3 linked regions of the Callithrix jacchus genome follow. The protein of the gene in region 2 interacts with the protein of the main gene of each other region in a biochemical or structural test. Links are inferred from orthologs where the notes say so. Each region holds a gene or a part of one and is shown on either strand. Other genes may lie near its edges. The genes, in order: DCUN1D5, CUL3 and KLHL20.

Region 1 (5,912 bases), on a different chromosome or scaffold from region 2:
GTCTTCCTGGTGGATTGACTCTTTTATTATAATATAATTATCTTCTTTGTTCTGATCATTTTCTTTGCTCTGAAGTTGCTCTAAGTCTATTTTAATATCATCTAATGTAGAAAGCCACTTTCTGCTTTCTTTTAATTGACGTTTCTATGAGATATTATTTTCCATTGTTTCATTTTCAACCTGCCTATACTATTTGAAGTTAAAGCTTCTTCTAGACAGCATATATTTGGGTCATCCTGTTTTTAATCCACTCTGTCTTATTGGTATATTTAGACTACTAACATTTAATGTAATTATGAATATATTAGAACTTAAGTTGACATTGTATTTTACAATTCAAAACTTTCCCTTTGTTTCCTTTTTTTATATCTATTTCTTTGTCCTTGGACTTTTTCTTTTGCTGATACTTTGTATTTTTTTTCATTTTTTTATAATGTTTTTGATTACTCATTGAAGCATTCATTTTATAGCTACTTTAAAGTGTGTCAGATGATTCTGAACATCTCTGTAATTTTGGTGTTTGCAAGTATTGATCGTCTTTTTGCATTCCATTTGAGATCTTCGTTTGACAAGTGATTTTTAAAATTGAAACCTGGACATTTTGGGTAGTATATTACAAAACCCTCGATCTCCAGATCTTATTTGAACCTTTAGTTTTAGCTATCTTACTCTAATGCTGTTCTGGCAAGAGAAATCAGGGCTGCCACCTTATTACTGCCAGGTACAGGTAGAAATTAAATTTTCTACTCTGCATCCATTGACATCTGAAGAAGGATGTCCCTTGTGACTGCTGGGCAGAGATGAGAGTTCTGGGTTCCCACTAGGCTTTTACTGATACTTTCTTGTCTGAAAGGGATAGGGGTGATGGTGATAGCCCTGACTCTTCACTTGGCCTCCTCTGTACAAACCTAGGGTAGAGGAGGATTGGCTGCTTGTTACTACCTGGTGAGAACAGAAGTTCATGTTACCCATGTGGTTTCCACCAGCATTGCAGGAGTTGGGAGAGAGGCTTTATTGTATCCCGGTAAGGGTAGACATTTTAGGTCCCCATTCAGTGTTTGCTAGCATTGGTGAGAGTTGGGCCATAGTTTCTTCAATGGTTTTTAATTAGAGTGTTTATTTTCTAAGCATTTTCTGCTCTGTGAGGCTCCTCCTTTCTTTGTCTTTTGGCTAAAGAAAAGGCAGGGTTTTATTGGGGCTTTTTGTCTCCCCTCGTTGGTGTTTCTGGTTACTAGCGTCTTAAGCTCCAAGTTTAGAATATATTAGGCAAAAATAAACTCAGAGAACTCACCACCATGTTGTTCCTCACGTTTCCACCTTTCAGAGTCTTTGTTTATTTTCTGTAAAATGTCCAGTGATTTTAGTTGTACCTAGGACAGAGAAAGAATAAAAAGTACATTGACAGCATCCCACTCAAGTTAGTGCCCCTTTTCTTTGCACCACTTTAGAATCAAACTCTTTGAAAGCATTCATCTGTACTTATTTTCTCCAGTTCCACTCTTTTCATTCTCTCCTAAACCGATTCCAGTAAGATTTCTATCCCTATCACTCCTTTGAAACAACTCTTGTCAAGGTGCCGTTTTCAAGTGAATACTAAAAGCAGAAATACACATGCATTTTTGAAGTACAAGATCTTTTATTTTAACCATTAGGTTTGGGAGTACATATGAAGGCTTGTTATATAGGTAAACTATTGTCACAGGGCTTTATTCTACAGATTATTTCATCACCCAGGTTTTAAGCCTAGTACTCAATAGTTATCTTTTATGTTTCTCTCTCTTCTCCCACCCTCCACCTTCAAGTAGACCCCAGTGTCTGTTGTTTTCCTTTTTTGTGTTCATAAATTCTCATCATTTACCTCCCACTTATAAGTGAGAACATGTGGTATTTGGTTTTCCAGCAATAGCTTGCTAAGGATAATAGCGTCTAGCTCCATCTATTTTCCTGCAAAAGATATGATCACGTTCTAAATTCTGGCAAGATTGGTCAAGAAACCAACAGAAAAGCGATGAAGATAAATAATGTTGATGCAAATAAGAAAATGTTATGAATAATTTTAATCATATTTAAATAAAATTGTATGTAAAATAATCTAGTTATCAGAAAAGTATGTGACCAAAACATTCAAAAAGAAATAGAAAATCTGAATGGTCCTATAGACATTAAAAATGTTGGTTTATTTGTTAAAAGTCTTTCTTCCTTTCCTCAGTACTCACCTGAGTTTGGACAGATGCTAATTCCAGAGTTACATAAGCTTTTTCAAAAACAGGGAAAAAAGTAGCAATTCTCTTTTTATTTTCTGAATCTTACACACTACAAACTTGTTAACAAAACTGGCAAGGAGAGTGAGAATGAAATTTAGAAGCTAGCCTCACTTAGGACATAGCAAAAATAACCCCAAAACCTAGCAATGTATAAAACAGGTAACATGACCAAATTTGACTTATTCTAGAAATGCAGGGTTTAATTAGTATTAGAAATTTGTCCAGAGTGTTTACACACTAATGAAATTATGATACTACACATCACAGGTCTTTGCATTATTGATTCAGTATAGTCTTCGTTAAATCTGAGAATGCCAGGTGTCTAGAGAGCATGTTGAATACTGAAATTCAGTTTTGAGTGGAATACTGTGGATCACAGTAGATGGCACAATTATTTTTGATTAAAGGGAGTCAGATGGTCTCTCAGAGGTGACAAAAGGTGACTTAGGTTTTGATGAGTAATATTGTTATCAGCATGTTGGAGGGAACGGTATTTCAAGTAGAAATAGTGGATGCTAAAGCATGGCTGTGGCATTTGGGAATGGTAAGTTACATAGTTAGAGCATGGTAAGGTTATCTGGAAGTGGCAGGAGATGACACTAGAGATTTGTGCCAAATTGTGAAAGGCCTTCACTGTCTTGCTTCTTGCTAAGCAGTGGAATTTATCAGCCCACTGAGAGAAAGCCAGTTGAGATTTTTGAGCCTTCCATATATTTAGTTGTCATGTCTTTTAAAATAACATGTATAACTTGTTTGCATGCTTTTGCATGTATAACTTATTTGAAGTTAGGTGCTTCTACTGCTTGGCTTTTTGTGTACAAAAATATAGGGATCTGGATTTATGACTGGACCACTTAATATAATGTATTAATTTCCTCTGTGTTATATCCTAAACTTTTAAAACCACTCATGGTTAATCTCTTTCACCAAATTGTTCCATAAGAACTTTCCAAAGAAAGAGGTGACAAGGGCATTTTTTATCACATACACAGCTAAAAATGACAGAGCAAATGAAACTAAATGAAACTAAAAACGATCTGTCATTTTTAGCTGTGTGTGTGATAAAACATTTTAATACATCTCTTTTTAACTTGGATTTTATTGGAATTTTTGAAGGAGTTGTTTGTTTTTAAGAAAAGTAATTGGACTGAACTTTCATTGATTCCCAGGTTTCTTTTTTCCCTTTTATCTTTTTTTTGTTGCATTGGTAGATGCAAGGCAAGAAATTTGTTATTCTAAATTTGTGAATCAGAGAATTTTAAACCTAAATTAACTTCATAAATGAACTCACTTTTTTCTTAATGGATTCCTTCTAAGTTCCAATGATAGTTTGGATTTTCTTGATGATGTAATTGTTTGATATTTCTTTTATTTAAGGTGTGACTGCACAGAAAAGTTACAAAACAAATTTGACTTCTTGCGCTCACAGTTGAATGACATTTCGTCATTTAAGAATATCTACAGATATGCCTTTGATTTTGCAAGGGTAGGTGCAGTTTTCACGTTTTGTTGTTTTAATCGCTTTCATCTTGAGGCCACACTGAGGAAAACTTTTTCACTTATATTTTAGGATAAAGATCAGAGAAGCCTTGATATTGATACTGCTAAATCTATGTTAGCTCTTCTGCTTGGGAGGACATGGCCACTGTTTTCAGTATTTTACCAGTACCTGGAGGTATGTATGTTTTTTTGAATTTTGAAAGTATTATTTTAAAACTTAGTCTGACTGAAAGTTATACTTTTAATTGAGGAACAAATAGATTTTTAATAGTATGCTGTAAAAAAACTCCTTGAGTAGAGAAAAAAATTATATTAAAATATGTATATATCAGCTGTTATTTTAAGATAGAAGTTCATGTTTATAAATACATTTTGTACCTAAGATATTTTCAATACTACCTTCAACCCATGAAAGAAACCTCCAAGAAATATATTGTAGCACAGACATTTGTCATGCAAAATTAGTTTTTCGGGGTTTTGCCAACTCAAAATATGGCTAAACAGTAAATCTTAAGTAGAGAAATGATTTACAAGGAAGCAGCTCAAGAGAACATACCGGATGTAGGAAACAGTATATATCTTGATCTCCTTGGTGGAGGGGTGGTAACACAGTATGTTGTAAAAGTTAGTTTTATCTTTAAATTAGTACTCAGTGCTCTTATTATTCCTCAAAAACGAAAGAAAAGTACAAAATAGATGATATCGATCTGTAAATGCCCATGAGGAATCTCTTAGAAACACAAATAGTTTAAAAGAATAATAAATGTTCTAGGAAAATCCAAATCACAAAGTTATAACTTAGTTTACTAAATTGAGTAATTTTTTTTAATCCAAATATTTAAATCGTTTTTTTCAGCAATCAAAGTATCGTGTTATGAACAAAGATCAGTGGTACAATGTATTAGAATTCAGCAGAACAGTCCATGCCGACCTTAGTAACTATGATGAAGATGGTGCTTGTAAGTGTAACATAATGTATTCCTGTGAAAATAAAATTTCCAAAATCTTAAATGAGCATATGCATTTGTGTATTATTAGCATAGAGGTTTTAAACTTTGTAATAGTAACTGATGATTTAATCGTGTGAGGGATGTGGGAGAACTAGAGAGTTTAGATTCAGCAGTATTATATAAAATCTATGCTGGTAAATGAAATGTTTTCAGTTCCTCGATAACCAAACATTTTAGCTAGATTTAAATCGTTTTTGCATCCAGAAGCTAAAATTCAGCTTTGTTTCTGTCTCTCCTGGCACTTCCCTATGGAAGAAAAATATAGTCATGATTTTTGAGATATGACAGCAAAACAATCAGTAACTCTAGAAAAAGCTTTAAAGTTATTATAGAATATCATGCCACCCATTAACAGTATGGCATATCATGTCAGTATAACTTCCCTCTGAAAACTATAAATTGATTGTGAGTAAACTGATAGTGAAATATTTATAATTTTTCAATCCCTCCAGTTAAAATATCTGTCCATACTCCATAAAACAGGAATTGAAATAATTAGATAAACCAAGTTAATTCTGTAGAACTATATATTATTTCAGTTCCCACCACCATTTTGGTTGCTTGCGTGTGTTTTCAGTGTTCAAAAGGGTTACATGGAAAGGTACATTCCTATAAACTTCAACTGAAATTATACACTTTTTTTCTGTGACACTGAAGAAATAAAATAGCAGAAGGGATAGCTTCATTTCTTCTACATGTATTTTCTCCTCTCTCTCCAAGATGGTATAAAATTTGGTATTATTTTAAGGAAATAATACCTAGCAGCAGTAAGCTGGCAGCCCAAAGGCTGTATGTGGCCTGTAGATGTGTATATTTGTTTATTTCAAATCAGTATTTAAAACTAGGAGATTTTGTATGAAAATAAAACTTTCAGATTTGTTTGAAAAATTTAAAAATTCAACAAAATTGCACCTGTACTGCTTTATAGGAGTCAGAGGCTGGAGCCAAGTAGTAACTGTGTTGGCCTTGCTTTTCGGTTTGGCAGTTCACAGTATGCTAAGACCTAGGCTGTTTTTCACTTGCCAATTATAATTGTACTTGCTCTGCTGTTTTGTTTTTTTTTTTTACAATAGAGAAACATGTCTGTCAAAAGCAAGGGAAAAAGACTACCAGAGGATTATGTGTTTTAAGAAGAGTA
Region 2 (6,012 bases):
CCTCCCGGGTGCAAGTGATTCTCATGCCTTAGCCTCCCAAGTAGCTGGGATTACAGGTGCATGTTACCACCCCTGGCAAATGTTTGTATTTTTAGCAGAGGCAGGGGTTTGCATGTTGGGCAGACTGGTCTCCAACTCCTAACCTCAGGTGATCTGCCCACCTCACCCTCCCAAAGTGCTGGGATTACAGGTGTGAGCCACTATGCCTGGACTTTCGGTGAAACTATAATTTCTCTTAAATTACAGTAGCTATATATCCAAATAACAGATGTAAAATACAATAATTTTTAAATATGTACATATGTGTAACCATAAACAACGATGTACCTATGTATAACCATAAACAATATTTCTTTTTTTTTTTTTTTGAGACAGTTTCACTTTTGTTGCCCAAGCTGGAGTGCTATGGCTTGATCTGTGTTGCCCAGGCTAGAGTGCAATGGTGTGATCTCAGCTCACTGCAACCTCCGCCTCCCAGATTCAAGCGATTCTCCAACCTCAGCCTCCCGAGTAACTGGGACTACAGGTATCCACCACCAGGCCCCACTTTTTTTGTATTTTCAGTAGAGACGAGACTTCACCATGTTGGCCAGGCTGGTCTCAGACATCTGACCTCAGGTGATTCACCTGCCTGGCCATATTTTTTCTTTATGTAATACTATGCATTAACTACTTTTGACCATCAACTCATGCAGTCTGCAGTTATGTATAAAACTGCCAATCTGGAAGACTGGAATTTTGAAGGTCTACAAGCACATGGTTAACAAGATAAATCTATGAAATACCATACCACTGAGATATATAGCTATCTGTAACCAAGTCTCAAACTATAATTTTTTTTTTTTTTTGACAGAGTTTAACTCTTGTTGCCTAGAGTGCAATGGCACCACCTCTGCCTCCTGGGTTCAAGCAATTCTCCTGCCTCAGCCTCCCCAGTAGCTAGGACTATAGGCACCCACCACCATGCCCGGCTAATTTTTTGTATTTTAGTAGAGATGGGATTTCACCGTGTTGGTCAGGATGGTCTCGATCTCCTGACTTCATGATCTGCCTGCTTCGGCCTCCCCAAATGCTGGGATTACAGACGTGAGCCACAGACGCCCGGCCAAACTAGAATTGTTATTTTCAATGGGAACCACTTATGAATGTTATTAATACTTATTAAACAGTAATGAAAAATTTTAGAAATCAACAGCTATTAACTACTGAATATCAAAACTAGTCACTTACATATAACCTGAAAGAGAAGTTATAGACAGAATAGGCCCAAATTAGCTCATAACCATAAACGAAGCTAAAAAAAAAAAAAAAATTCAGTTCCAGTACTACGTGGTAAGCTATCACACAATTTTATTATACTGGTCAGCTAAAGGAATATGAAATTCTCTCCCATCTCTTCTCCTCAACAATACTAGCTCCAGAAGGCAGGGATCTTGGTCTTTTTAGCTATACTGACAAACCCTCACAAGACCGCCTGGCACATAATATTCAGTATTTGTTGAACAAATGAAATGATGGCAAAACAGGTAAGATCAGGGAAACCTGTAGACATCAAAGAGTTTGATTAAACACAGATGGAAGTACAACTGGTCAATCAGAAGGCCATTAACCTGAGTGAGTCGATGTCAAATGTGAGTTACTCCACGTTTTAGAAAAAAATCTTTAGAACTTTCGAATTCAAGAATGAGGAGTGTAGGACCGCAAACACTCCTAGAAAATCTGTTGTACAAAACTATTAACTTCATAAAATTCTAAATTCTAAACTCTACTTTAAAATGGTCAGAATTTAGCAGGAAAATTATTAATATTACTCACAAATTCATAAAGCCAGCTCTTTGCCCAATTATAAAGGAAAACATACTAGTGAACTTCGTTAGTACTCTGTCAACACTGCTGACTTCCTGATGTAATTTCTCACGTTTACTTAGAAAAAAGTTTGAAACATTCAAAAAGCCTTTATTATCAAAAACACTTAATTCTCCCAAATACATCGTACCTATTTACAGAAAGCAGAAGCTTCCTCACACTGACTTTAGTATTAATGTTCTTGCATTTCAGAATTCTACATCAGGTGTATCCTTTTCAATTTTAGGAATTCAGAGGTCCTCAGGTTCTCTGGGACTAAATTACTTGACTCAACTGGGGCAATCATATTTAGATAACAAGTCTTTTCCCCACTACAAGGGCACTTCAGGAAAAGCATGCTTTAAAAAGTGACAATAAATCCCTCTCTTATGCCTGCACATCATATGAAGTATTTGCGAATCTAAGACGGGAAGACCAAGATCTTTCTCTAATTTTACTTTTTAAAATCTTCTGTCCGATTGCTAGTTGGTCTGTCTTGATGTATGCCTTTTATTGTAGCAACATGGGCAAGTATGTCCAGTTTGTTAACAAGAGTACATTTTAATTGCTTGCCATCAGGTATCTGAATCAGATATGACACCCAAAGTTATACCCTATGTCCTAAACACTGAAAGGGTACGACTCAACCTAATGCCAAAAAAGTAAGTTTCTGAGCAGAACGCGTTTGCTGTCACTGAAACCGATGAAAGAAAGCAACTCCACAAGGCGACTAAGCTCATTCTTTGGGCTCCCAAGGCTGAGAAATGGAGAACCAATTGCCCGGTTTGCTCCCTGTGGCTTTCCCCCGGCCTTCCTCGGAGTGGCGAGGCAATCCTGCACAAGAGTTTGTAAAGTGCTTAGGAGGCTTGCGGGATGAAATACACCCCATGTTACTAGTTTATGATCACAGAGCATTCCGTGCAACCACTGTCACTGCGTCGGAGGCAAGTTGAGGGCAGAGCCCTTCCTGGGGAGGGGGACAGAGAGGGCAGCCCTTTCATCACCCTAAAAGCTAGACTGGGTTATTTTGGAAAGTGCAGCGAAACCCCACGTGAAAAGTTGCACACATGCCCCACACAGGGAGGACTCCGCCGCAGCCAGCAAAGCCGGAGACTGGCCCTACACCCCGGCAACGTGGGGAGGCGTGGGGCGGCCGAGGGGCTCCGGCCGCAGCCAACGCCCACGAGGCGGCTGGAGAAGCAGCTCGCAGACGGGGGCGCGGGGCCAGGCCCGGGCTCCCGGCGCGGGGAACGGCCCGGGAGGGCGGCCGCGCCGGGGCCCCGCGCCGCCCGGTTGCTGGGAAGGCTCGCGCCTCGCGGCCGGCGGGCGTGGGGGAGGGGAGGCCGGGCCTGCGGCCTGTTGGGGGAGTTCAGCCCGGGCCTCGCGTGCGGCTCTCGGCTCGGCCCCCGGCCCCGGGGTCCCGGACGCCGGGGAGAGACTCACCGGAAAGGCCCGGATCCGCATCTTGGTGTCCTTCCGGCTGCCCGTGCCTTTGCTCAGATTCGACATGGTGCTCGTCCCCTACCCGGCGGCGGCTTCAGGTCGCGCTCCGCGGCGCCGGTGTCACATTTAAGGCGGGCGGGCAGGCGAGGGGCGACGCTGGGGGCGGTGGCGGAGCGGACCCGGGCAGGGCTAGGGAGCTGGCCGGCCCCTGAGCAGCCGCGGCGGCGGCGGGGACGGCGGCGGCTCGGGCTCCGGCGGCTCCGACGCGGCTGGGGGGCTGCGCTGGCGCGGCTGCTCCACGGGGTCCCCCTCAGGCCCGGCTTCGCTCCCTTTATCGCGCTCCTCCGCGATGGCGGCGGCGGCGGCGACGGACAAACATCTCACTGCGCAGGCCGAACGTCGTCCTCCTCCTCCTCCTTCTCCTCCTCCGCCTGAGCGAGACGAGATCCGGCCCAGAGGGTGGAGGGGGGAGGAGGGAGGGAGGAGAGCCGGAGAGTGAGAGATGCGGGGGGAGGGAGGTGGGAGGACGGGAGGGGGAAGCGGGCGGCCGCGGCGGGGACGCTCAGATCTCGCGAGAAGAGGGCGAGCGCGCTACTCCTTGTGGGGCGGGGCGAAACCCGGGAGCGGGAGGACGCCACCAGAGGGGAGGAGGGGAATGGGGAGTTGGGGGGAGTGGTAGGGGCCGGCGGGGCGGGGTAGCGAAAAGAGGGCGTGGCTAAGAGCGGGAGGTTTAAGCTGCCTTTTGAAAGAGGAGCGCCAGGTCCCCGGTTCTGGGCGGAGGTGGTTGCTGATTGGTGGAACTTCAAGTGGGGTTGGGGGGGAGGGGGGTTCCTGGTCACGTGGGGGGAGTGGGCGGGGGAAGTTTGGAGAGCAGGAGCAGGATTGTAGTGGGCTGGGCCTTACTGGGCTGGGGCAAGATTTAGTCTTGAGGAGGAGCGTGGGGTGCTAGATGGATAACTACGTCCCGAACTGGTTCCTATGTTTTTCTAGGGCATATGGACTAGGGATGGGTACTTGAGCAGAAGCCAGCAACTAGAACGAAGAGTTTGTGCAGGAGTTACCTGCATGATCGGAAATTACTGTCCTGTATGCTCAACAAGGTATTCGGACTGGGTGTCCACACAACAGCTCTCAGGACTGGAGGGTGGAAATTTAATCTACAAAGTTCCCTTAAACTGCAAAAGCTTCGGGACCTCTTGATTCACTGATATTTTCTGGTGGACCCCGGGCTTATTAATGTTAAAACCTGTTTTTCATTACTATCAGAAAAAAATAACAGCTCCATTAATGAAATGCAGCATTTGGTAAATGATGTTAAATGGAATGATAGAAACCTAACTTTAACCAACCAGATGAGTCATTTCTACTATTACCAAGAGTACTGTAGGTTTTTAAAGCCAAAATTACTGTCTGATACAGTTGCTGTATATTTGAAAAGTTTTGGGTTTTGGGGGAGAGGGGTTTGATCATTTTATATTCAAAATGTCTAATCTGACTCATGGTTTTGCTGTCCATTTATTATGAACTGTACTTCCTCATTTACCTACTTGCCCAAGTGCTGTTATGTTTGGGTTTCTGACTCTGCAAGGGAGTATGTGAGTGCCTACTAAAGTTTGTCATCTTCCTGTTTTAAAGAAACAGCTGTTTTAGGGATAGATATGTACATTTAGAAGCTGAAATTGTAATACTTTTAAATAGCAAACTTAATATAAAGTGAAATACACATTTGTTGACTGTAAGGTTGAATTTGCCCTAAATTAACTCTAATTAGTAAGCTTATGAGTTATTGCGCTTAAATCCCCTACTCGGTTGAAACGCCCCATTGCAAATACCATATTTTCTTTTTTTTTTTTTTTTTGTGGGAGTTTTTTGGTATTGTCTAATTAAAGCAAGAGCTTAAGAAACAAGGATATTGCTTAAGATAATATCTGTAAATACTGAAGCTAAAAATAGGTTATCAAGAATTGAGTTAATAAACAAAGATTGGGAGGGGCTCTGACTTCAGTATAAGATAATGTCTGTATTGGAGTTTATAATCTGTATGCTAATTGAACCTTCATTTCCATAATATTAGAATATAATAACAATGTTTTCCTGTTGGTTGTACTCTTATGGCCCAGTTTCTTTTACTGTAAGAATATATGTTCAGAACAGCGATCTCTGAGGAACCATAAAAAGAAATTTAACAGTGGTGTGATCTCTGCTCACGGTAATCTCAGCCTTCTTGGCAAAAAAAAAAGAAATTTAAAAATATATATTAAAAAATATATATATGTTCTTGGAGCCATTGTTTGAATCCCAATTCTGCCACTTTACTAGCTGTGTTATGTGTCTTTTGGGACATGGAGTTGACAATGCCTAGAGTTCCTCATCTGTAAAATGGAGACAATAACAGTACTTCCTCCTTGGGCTACTATGAAATTTGAATAAGTGAATACATTTTAGAAGCCCTGAGAGTTGGGCATTGCTCTCAGTGCCCTGAGAGCAGCCACTTGCCACCTGTTGGCTGTTACTAACATGGGCGTTAAAGCCAAGGTTATACTACTTCCTTTATTCAATAGGTAGGTTTCTTTTAAAAAAACACTTGTATGCTTTTATAAAATAAATCGTATTTTGAAACTAAGCCAGTCACTGACATTTGGATCTCAGTCCACTAAAATATTTTCTGATAAGCTAGGGAGTCAATATAGGTTTGACTTTATATTGGCAAGGGCATTAAAAGGG
Region 3 (6,012 bases), on a different chromosome or scaffold from region 2:
CTGCCACAACACTTAGCTAAATTTTTTTGTTTGTTTCCTTTTGTAGAGATGGGGTTTTGTCATGTTGCCCAGGCTGGTCTGGTCTTGAACTCCTGGGCTCAAGGGATCTGTCCATCTTAGCTTCCCAAAGTGCTGGGATTACAAGGGTGAGCCACTGCGCTCTTTTCTTTTTAAAAGAAAAGTGAGCCACTGCCATCTTTTCTTTTTAAAAGCCACTAATGTTGGCCAGGTATAGTGGCTCACACCCGTAATCCTAGCACTTTGGGAGGCTGAGGCAGGCAGACTGCTTGAGCCCAGAAGTTTGAGACCAGCCTGGGTAACACAGCAAAACGCTATCTCTATAAATACAAATTAAAAAAATAAAAAGAGAAGACATCTTATATATATATATATTTGTGTATGAACTACAATGGCTCTGAAAGAACGTGTAAGAATCTGCTTACAGTGGTTGCCTTTGGAGAGAACTGGGAACTGGGGACAGCACTGGGAGACTTAACTTTTTACTGAATATCCTATTGTATCTTTTAAATTTTGCATTGTGTATGCAAATGATAGTAAATAAGTGATGTAATGAAACTTTACTAATAAAATGCCAATTGATTTCATAAAACTTTACAATCAAGAAACTAGAATACCTTCAACCATAATTTTCAGTCTTTTCTTGTTCATAGATTTTTTTTGGATTGGGAAAGTCTGTAGAAATTGTTCAGTCCTATTCAAACAATTATTCAGTAATCATTAGGTACTAGTGATGCAAATATCTGAAGACATCAGACTCAAAGAGCTCACAATCTAGTAGGCAGAATGAACATGTATTCAAATAATCTAATAGAAAAAGTTATTTTTCACTCAAAGCTTCTTTAGTAGCAGCTGAGTATAAATCCAGTTATTACAGAGACTGCCTTCTGGGTTGCATCAGCAAAAATGACAGCCCAATAAAAGGATAGGAAGGTGTGACCACAATTGAATGTAGGAAGCAGGTGAAAGATCAGAGACCAATGTGAGTAGGCTACGCTCTGGCCAACTGATAGTGATGAAGAAAGAGCTGTAACTTAACAATTAACAGCATTAGAATTATCCAATATGATTTTGAATAGCTGACAGTATTATGTAACAAAGGAAGAAAAAAACAGCAGGTATGAATGATTAAGCAAATATTTTATACAGAAACTACTGATAAATCAAAAACATTCCCACACTTTGCCATTCTTTTAAAAAATAATAAGCTCTTATTTTAGTAATTACATAAGATATGACATTTTATGGTAGCTGGAGATGAGATGCAATCTAATCTTTTGCAGTAATGTTAGAATTGAATTGATGAAGCATTTAATATATGTTGTTAATTTTTTCATGTACACTGGGGTAAAATATTCCTATTACAGAGTAAAATATAAACAAGATAATGTATTTTTCATCTTGATAACATCTTTTCATCTAGAGATCTTAAAGCATTTGCAAATGTTCATGAATCCTCAATATCCTGATCAGATACACTAAAGAGGTAAACTGGGGTATAGAGAAGATGAACAGTTCAATGTCAACTGATAAATAACAGATTTGGAAAAAGATATACATTCTGATTCTTGCTCCAAGTTCTGAGTTATAAGTCATATTCCCATTATAAAATGTTTCTTCTCTTAAAAGAACTGCAAAAGTTGTTTATCTTTGATGTTAAATAACAAATAATTAGAGTTCAATAATAGAAAACAAATTTAAAAATCAAAAAAAATAAAGAACCAGGCTGATTCTGTATCAATAAAGATTCTAGTCTCATTTGATAGAACATATTGAGAAAGAGCATTATTAAATTCTAGGGCTGGAAGGGCCTATTTGTCTATATTTTCCCAGACATTGTTTCTATTTTTCTATGGACTAAGTTATTATGTCTAATACCTTTTTTAGTTCTTATACAATCTTCTCTGCAATGCAGCTATTTTAATTAACAGAACAAATGTGAGTAGGCTTTATTATTATTGAATATTAAGGAAATAACCAAAACCATAATTAGGCATGCAGTACACTGTATTATAAATAATTATGATTCTTATATGGCAACAGAATTCTCTACATTTTATAGGGGACTGAAGATTATAATAAATCCACATAGTATCATAGTGAACTTAATAATTTACTGTAAAAAAACATGAAAAAAGAAAAATTGTTTAACAGTATATACAATCCACAGCACTTTTTAGAAATTTAACTTCTATATTTTACTCTACTAAAAAGCTATTAATTCTTAATATTACTTTTGATTTATTTTAGAACAAGACTCATTAGTTGCAAGCAGAACTTATTACAATTGAAACTCTTTTTTAAAAATTTAAATAATTACATGATGAATTTTAATAAGTGAAACCAAAGATTTTCTTCCTAAATGCCTACCTGCGCATTGGCTTTCCTTCCATGCACCATGAAAAGTACCCTTCACCACACTTTAAAGCCGAACCTAAGACAACAGAAAAGCAGGAAATTAATAAAAGTGATTTCTGAGTTTTACAGTAACAATCTTTATATAATCATTTCGCTCATTTCGTCAGTTATCAAGTTTCCTATCTTATTATACCACAGGCCTTTTGCAGATTGCACAGTAACTTAATCTAATATATTTAAGATTACCATCCTTACTGTGCATGCTAAAACGATTAAATGTAAAGGTAAGGGAAAATATGCTAAATAGTCCCGACTGTTAGATCAGTCTTGCTTCTCTTCAAAAAGTGCTTGGACATATTTAACTGTGATCTCGCCATCAAGTAAATTTACAGAGCAATCACCAGACACCCACAGCAGTACTAACCTGATAGATCACATATGGAACACGCTGCTTTAACAACGGATCTGAAGGTTGTTAACTTGTCTCGAAGTGACAGGAGGAGGAGGCGTCAGCATTCGCCTTTACAAACAACCAACTCCGCTTCCGACAGCCCAGGGAGCTTGAACAGGGCAGGGAAAGTATGGCTCCAGACTAACACTCTTTACAAGCATTTCCTTCAGTCCCCGTAACAATGTTCACTACCCACGTAGCAGATTTCGCCAGGTCCCGAGGGTTAAATGGGGGCGCACACTACTTTCTTCCTTCCCTGAATTCCAAACACTGTCTGGGGAAGCCGTCCAGGGTGCGGAACCCCAGCACTACTACCAGGCAGGACACTGCCCAGGGCCTCCTCTGGCTACGAGATAGGCTGTCAGCCTGCGAGAGCGCACTCTGGAGCTCCGCGAGGCCCGGCTTTGGCGCCCCAACAGCCTCTTCCCGGCGCCGTCTGACAAGCGACCGACGAAGCACGGCCCTGACCCCATGGGGCAGCTCAGCAACTTGGGACCACATATTTGCAAAGCGAGCCCTGGAGCGCTGTGCGCTGTTCCCCGCTCTAAGGCGGCTGGCTCACTTACCGGCTTTAACACTTTGTTCTCTGCCGCAGCCTCCACCGTCTATTCCGCCCTCCACTCCTCTCTGCCTACTCCTCTACTGCTGTTAGCGCAGGCAAAATGCCGCTCTTAAAGCTATTTCCTTTCCCTTCACCCGCCCATGTCCAGAAGCAGGAAGTAGTCCTACTCCTAAATCGTTCCTGCAGAAACCCACATAGTCCGCCAAGGGGTTCCGGTGCGGCTCCGGAAGCAGTCGCGCCCTTTGCTAGGGAATTCAGGTAACCTCACAGGTTGTTTATCCTCATGGGATAAACATGTATTTCGAGATTCCTTGTATTTCTAGAGTAACTATTTTTTGAGTTCACTGAGGAACTGGCAGTATTTGATACTGAAGCCCCCTCTTCTTTGTTTTCGTCAGCAAAGCCAGTAGAAAGACTGGAGTGGTCACAGAAAGCTAGGAATTTTTTCTTTGTAGTCGGTGGGTCTCCTTTGGGCACAGTGTTCCTAATTGTGGATTGGATTATTGCATGCACGCATGGGTTGGCATAATTTATCTGTCAGGCCCCTACTATGTGCCAGGTGCAGAAGATACACAGACAAATCAGAGATAGACCTGACCCTCCAGATTTCCCACAATTGAGCTTTCAAGACACCAGGGTTTTATCCAGGCTCTAAGGCTGTGTCAGTTTGCTCTTTCTAGTTTGTATTCAGCACCAGACACTTCACCAAACACATCTTCTGTGGATTCACTTTAATTTAGGGAGAGAAGAGTATATTTTCTTAAAAAAAATTTTTTTCAGTAGCAAGCAGAGTCAAAAAATGTATTTTTCAAGTTATCTTTTCCTCCAGATTTTCCCATAGCACACAGCCACCTGATTTTTACTGTATATTAATATTTAGAAAACAAGTGATAGAAGTGTAAGGTGGGGATTACAATTTCAGGAACGTCAGAGAAAGAGTTGCTGATTTCCTGATAAGTATACTAGGCTAAGTAATAACCAGATTTTCTTTAGCTGTTCTTTACATAGACTCTACAGAGGTTTGTCTAGTTGTTTCTGAGGGGAAAGGATACCTCTTGTTAATTAGCTTGTAGTGGAAAACTCATGGCCTTTAGATCCAGATATAATGGCCCAATAGATTATTCTTGCCTGCTCCCCGGATACAGCTGATAGGAATTGCAATAGAGAAAGAGTTTTTACATGACACTGAGTGGAAAAATGGAAGAGGTTTTATTATTATTCAGATTGGCTTCCTGGAGCATTTGGGGGCTAGGGTTTTTTTCAAAGGTAGTTTGGGGAAAGGGGTAGGGGTGGCTAGGCAATGGGTGCTTGCTGCTGACTGATTGGGGGTATAGGAGATGGTCCTCCTGCCTACTGAGTTGTTGCTGGGTCGAGCCATTGGAACAGTTGGTGGGTCCAGGTGGAGCCATCGGGGTAGTTAAACATGCAAGAAACTTAAAAAGATACCTCAAAAGGCCAATCTTAGAATCTACAATAGTGTTGTTATCTGCAGGAGTAGTTGGAGAAGTTGCTTATCTTGTGACCTCTGGAATAATGGCTGGCAATCATTTATGTCTACACCTTAACAGAATTCAGGCTTATTTATCCCCCTAGTCTGGTAGATTCTCAGTAGCTTTGCAAAGACAGTTGTTTTGGAGAAGAATTATAATTATTAAACCATTAAACTAAATGTCTCCCTAAGTTATCTTGGCTTAAACCCAGGAATAATTAAGGGCAGACTGAAAGCTAAAGACAAGATGGGGTTTGGCTAGATCAGATCTCCCCGACTGCCATAATTTTTTCACTGACAGAATTTTTGCAAAGGCAGTTTCAATTTGCAAAGGTGATTTCACAGATACACACAGGTACACATCCTAGACCTATAACTGACTAGCTTTGTGATCTTATTAAAAATTTTTACTGCATGTGTATAAGTGATATGTATACACATGTAGTAGAATTATTTTTCATATTAAAAACTTTATATAAGTGGTATCAAAGCATATGTATTCTTTTGCAACTTGCATTTTCCATTCAACCTTCCGTTTGTAAGATTTGTCCATGTTGATCAATGCAGGTCCAATTCCATGATTCTCAAAGTGTGGTCCTGGAACAGCAGTATCAGCATCATTTGGGAAATGCCAACCCTTGAGCCCCATTACAGACCTATTGAATTGGAAACTGAAGGTGGGACCTAGTAATTTGTGTTCTAACAAGTTCTCCAGGTGATTATATCGCATGTTAAAGTTTGAGAACTACTGCACTACTTTATTTATTTTCACTGCTATTTAGTATTCCATTATATGAATATACCATAGATTTTTTAAAAATGTACATATGTAAGTGTTTCTTTGGGGTATGTACCTAGAAGTAAAACTGATGGGTTGTATACTATGCACAGCTTCAACTGTTTCAGCACTAGTCAAATTGCTCTCCAAAGTCATTATTCTATTTCAATAATAATAATACTAGCAAATACGTAGCTTGTTATATTAACTCATCAATACTCAAGTTAGTCCTCTCAAGGTAGGATCTATTATCATCATTCCAATTTCACAGATGGCACCAAGATGTCACATAAGTTGCCCAAAGTCACATAGCTAGTTATGAAGTAGAGCAAGAACTTGAAACCATAAACAATGGC

The links.
Region 1: the proteins of CUL3 (region 2) and DCUN1D5 form a complex in vitro, tested with the Homo sapiens proteins (2 studies listed by BioGRID, with this or other methods). The link is inferred for Callithrix jacchus from reciprocal best matches to the Homo sapiens genes CUL3 and DCUN1D5.
Region 3: the proteins of CUL3 (region 2) and KLHL20 form a complex in vitro, tested with the Homo sapiens proteins (2 studies listed by BioGRID and IntAct). The link is inferred for Callithrix jacchus from reciprocal best matches to the Homo sapiens genes CUL3 and KLHL20.

The regions. Positions count from the first base shown.
Region 1 is NC_133511.1:3,104,256-3,110,167, reverse strand, and holds part of DCUN1D5 (DCN1-like protein 5), read left to right. Parts: intron 1-3,641; coding exon 3,642-3,750; intron 3,751-3,834; coding exon 3,835-3,939; intron 3,940-4,620; coding exon 4,621-4,723; intron 4,724-5,912. UniProt on the Homo sapiens protein: Contributes to the neddylation of all cullins by transferring NEDD8 from N-terminally acetylated NEDD8-conjugating E2s enzyme to different cullin C-terminal domain-RBX complexes which is necessary for the activation of cullin-RING E3 ubiquitin ligases (CRLs).
Region 2 is NC_133507.1:146,311,008-146,317,019, forward strand, and holds the start of CUL3 (cullin-3), read right to left. Parts: upstream 3,671-6,012; 5' UTR 3,355-3,670; coding exon 3,289-3,354; intron 1-3,288. UniProt on the Homo sapiens protein: Core component of multiple cullin-RING-based BCR (BTB-CUL3-RBX1) E3 ubiquitin-protein ligase complexes which mediate the ubiquitination and subsequent proteasomal degradation of target proteins.
Region 3 is NC_133519.1:29,305,870-29,311,881, forward strand, and holds the start of KLHL20 (kelch-like protein 20), read right to left. Parts: upstream 3,536-6,012; 5' UTR 3,394-3,535; intron 2,937-3,393; 5' UTR 2,801-2,936; intron 2,453-2,800; 5' UTR 2,412-2,452; coding exon 2,389-2,411; intron 1-2,388. UniProt on the Homo sapiens protein: Substrate-specific adapter of a BCR (BTB-CUL3-RBX1) E3 ubiquitin-protein ligase complex involved in interferon response and anterograde Golgi to endosome transport.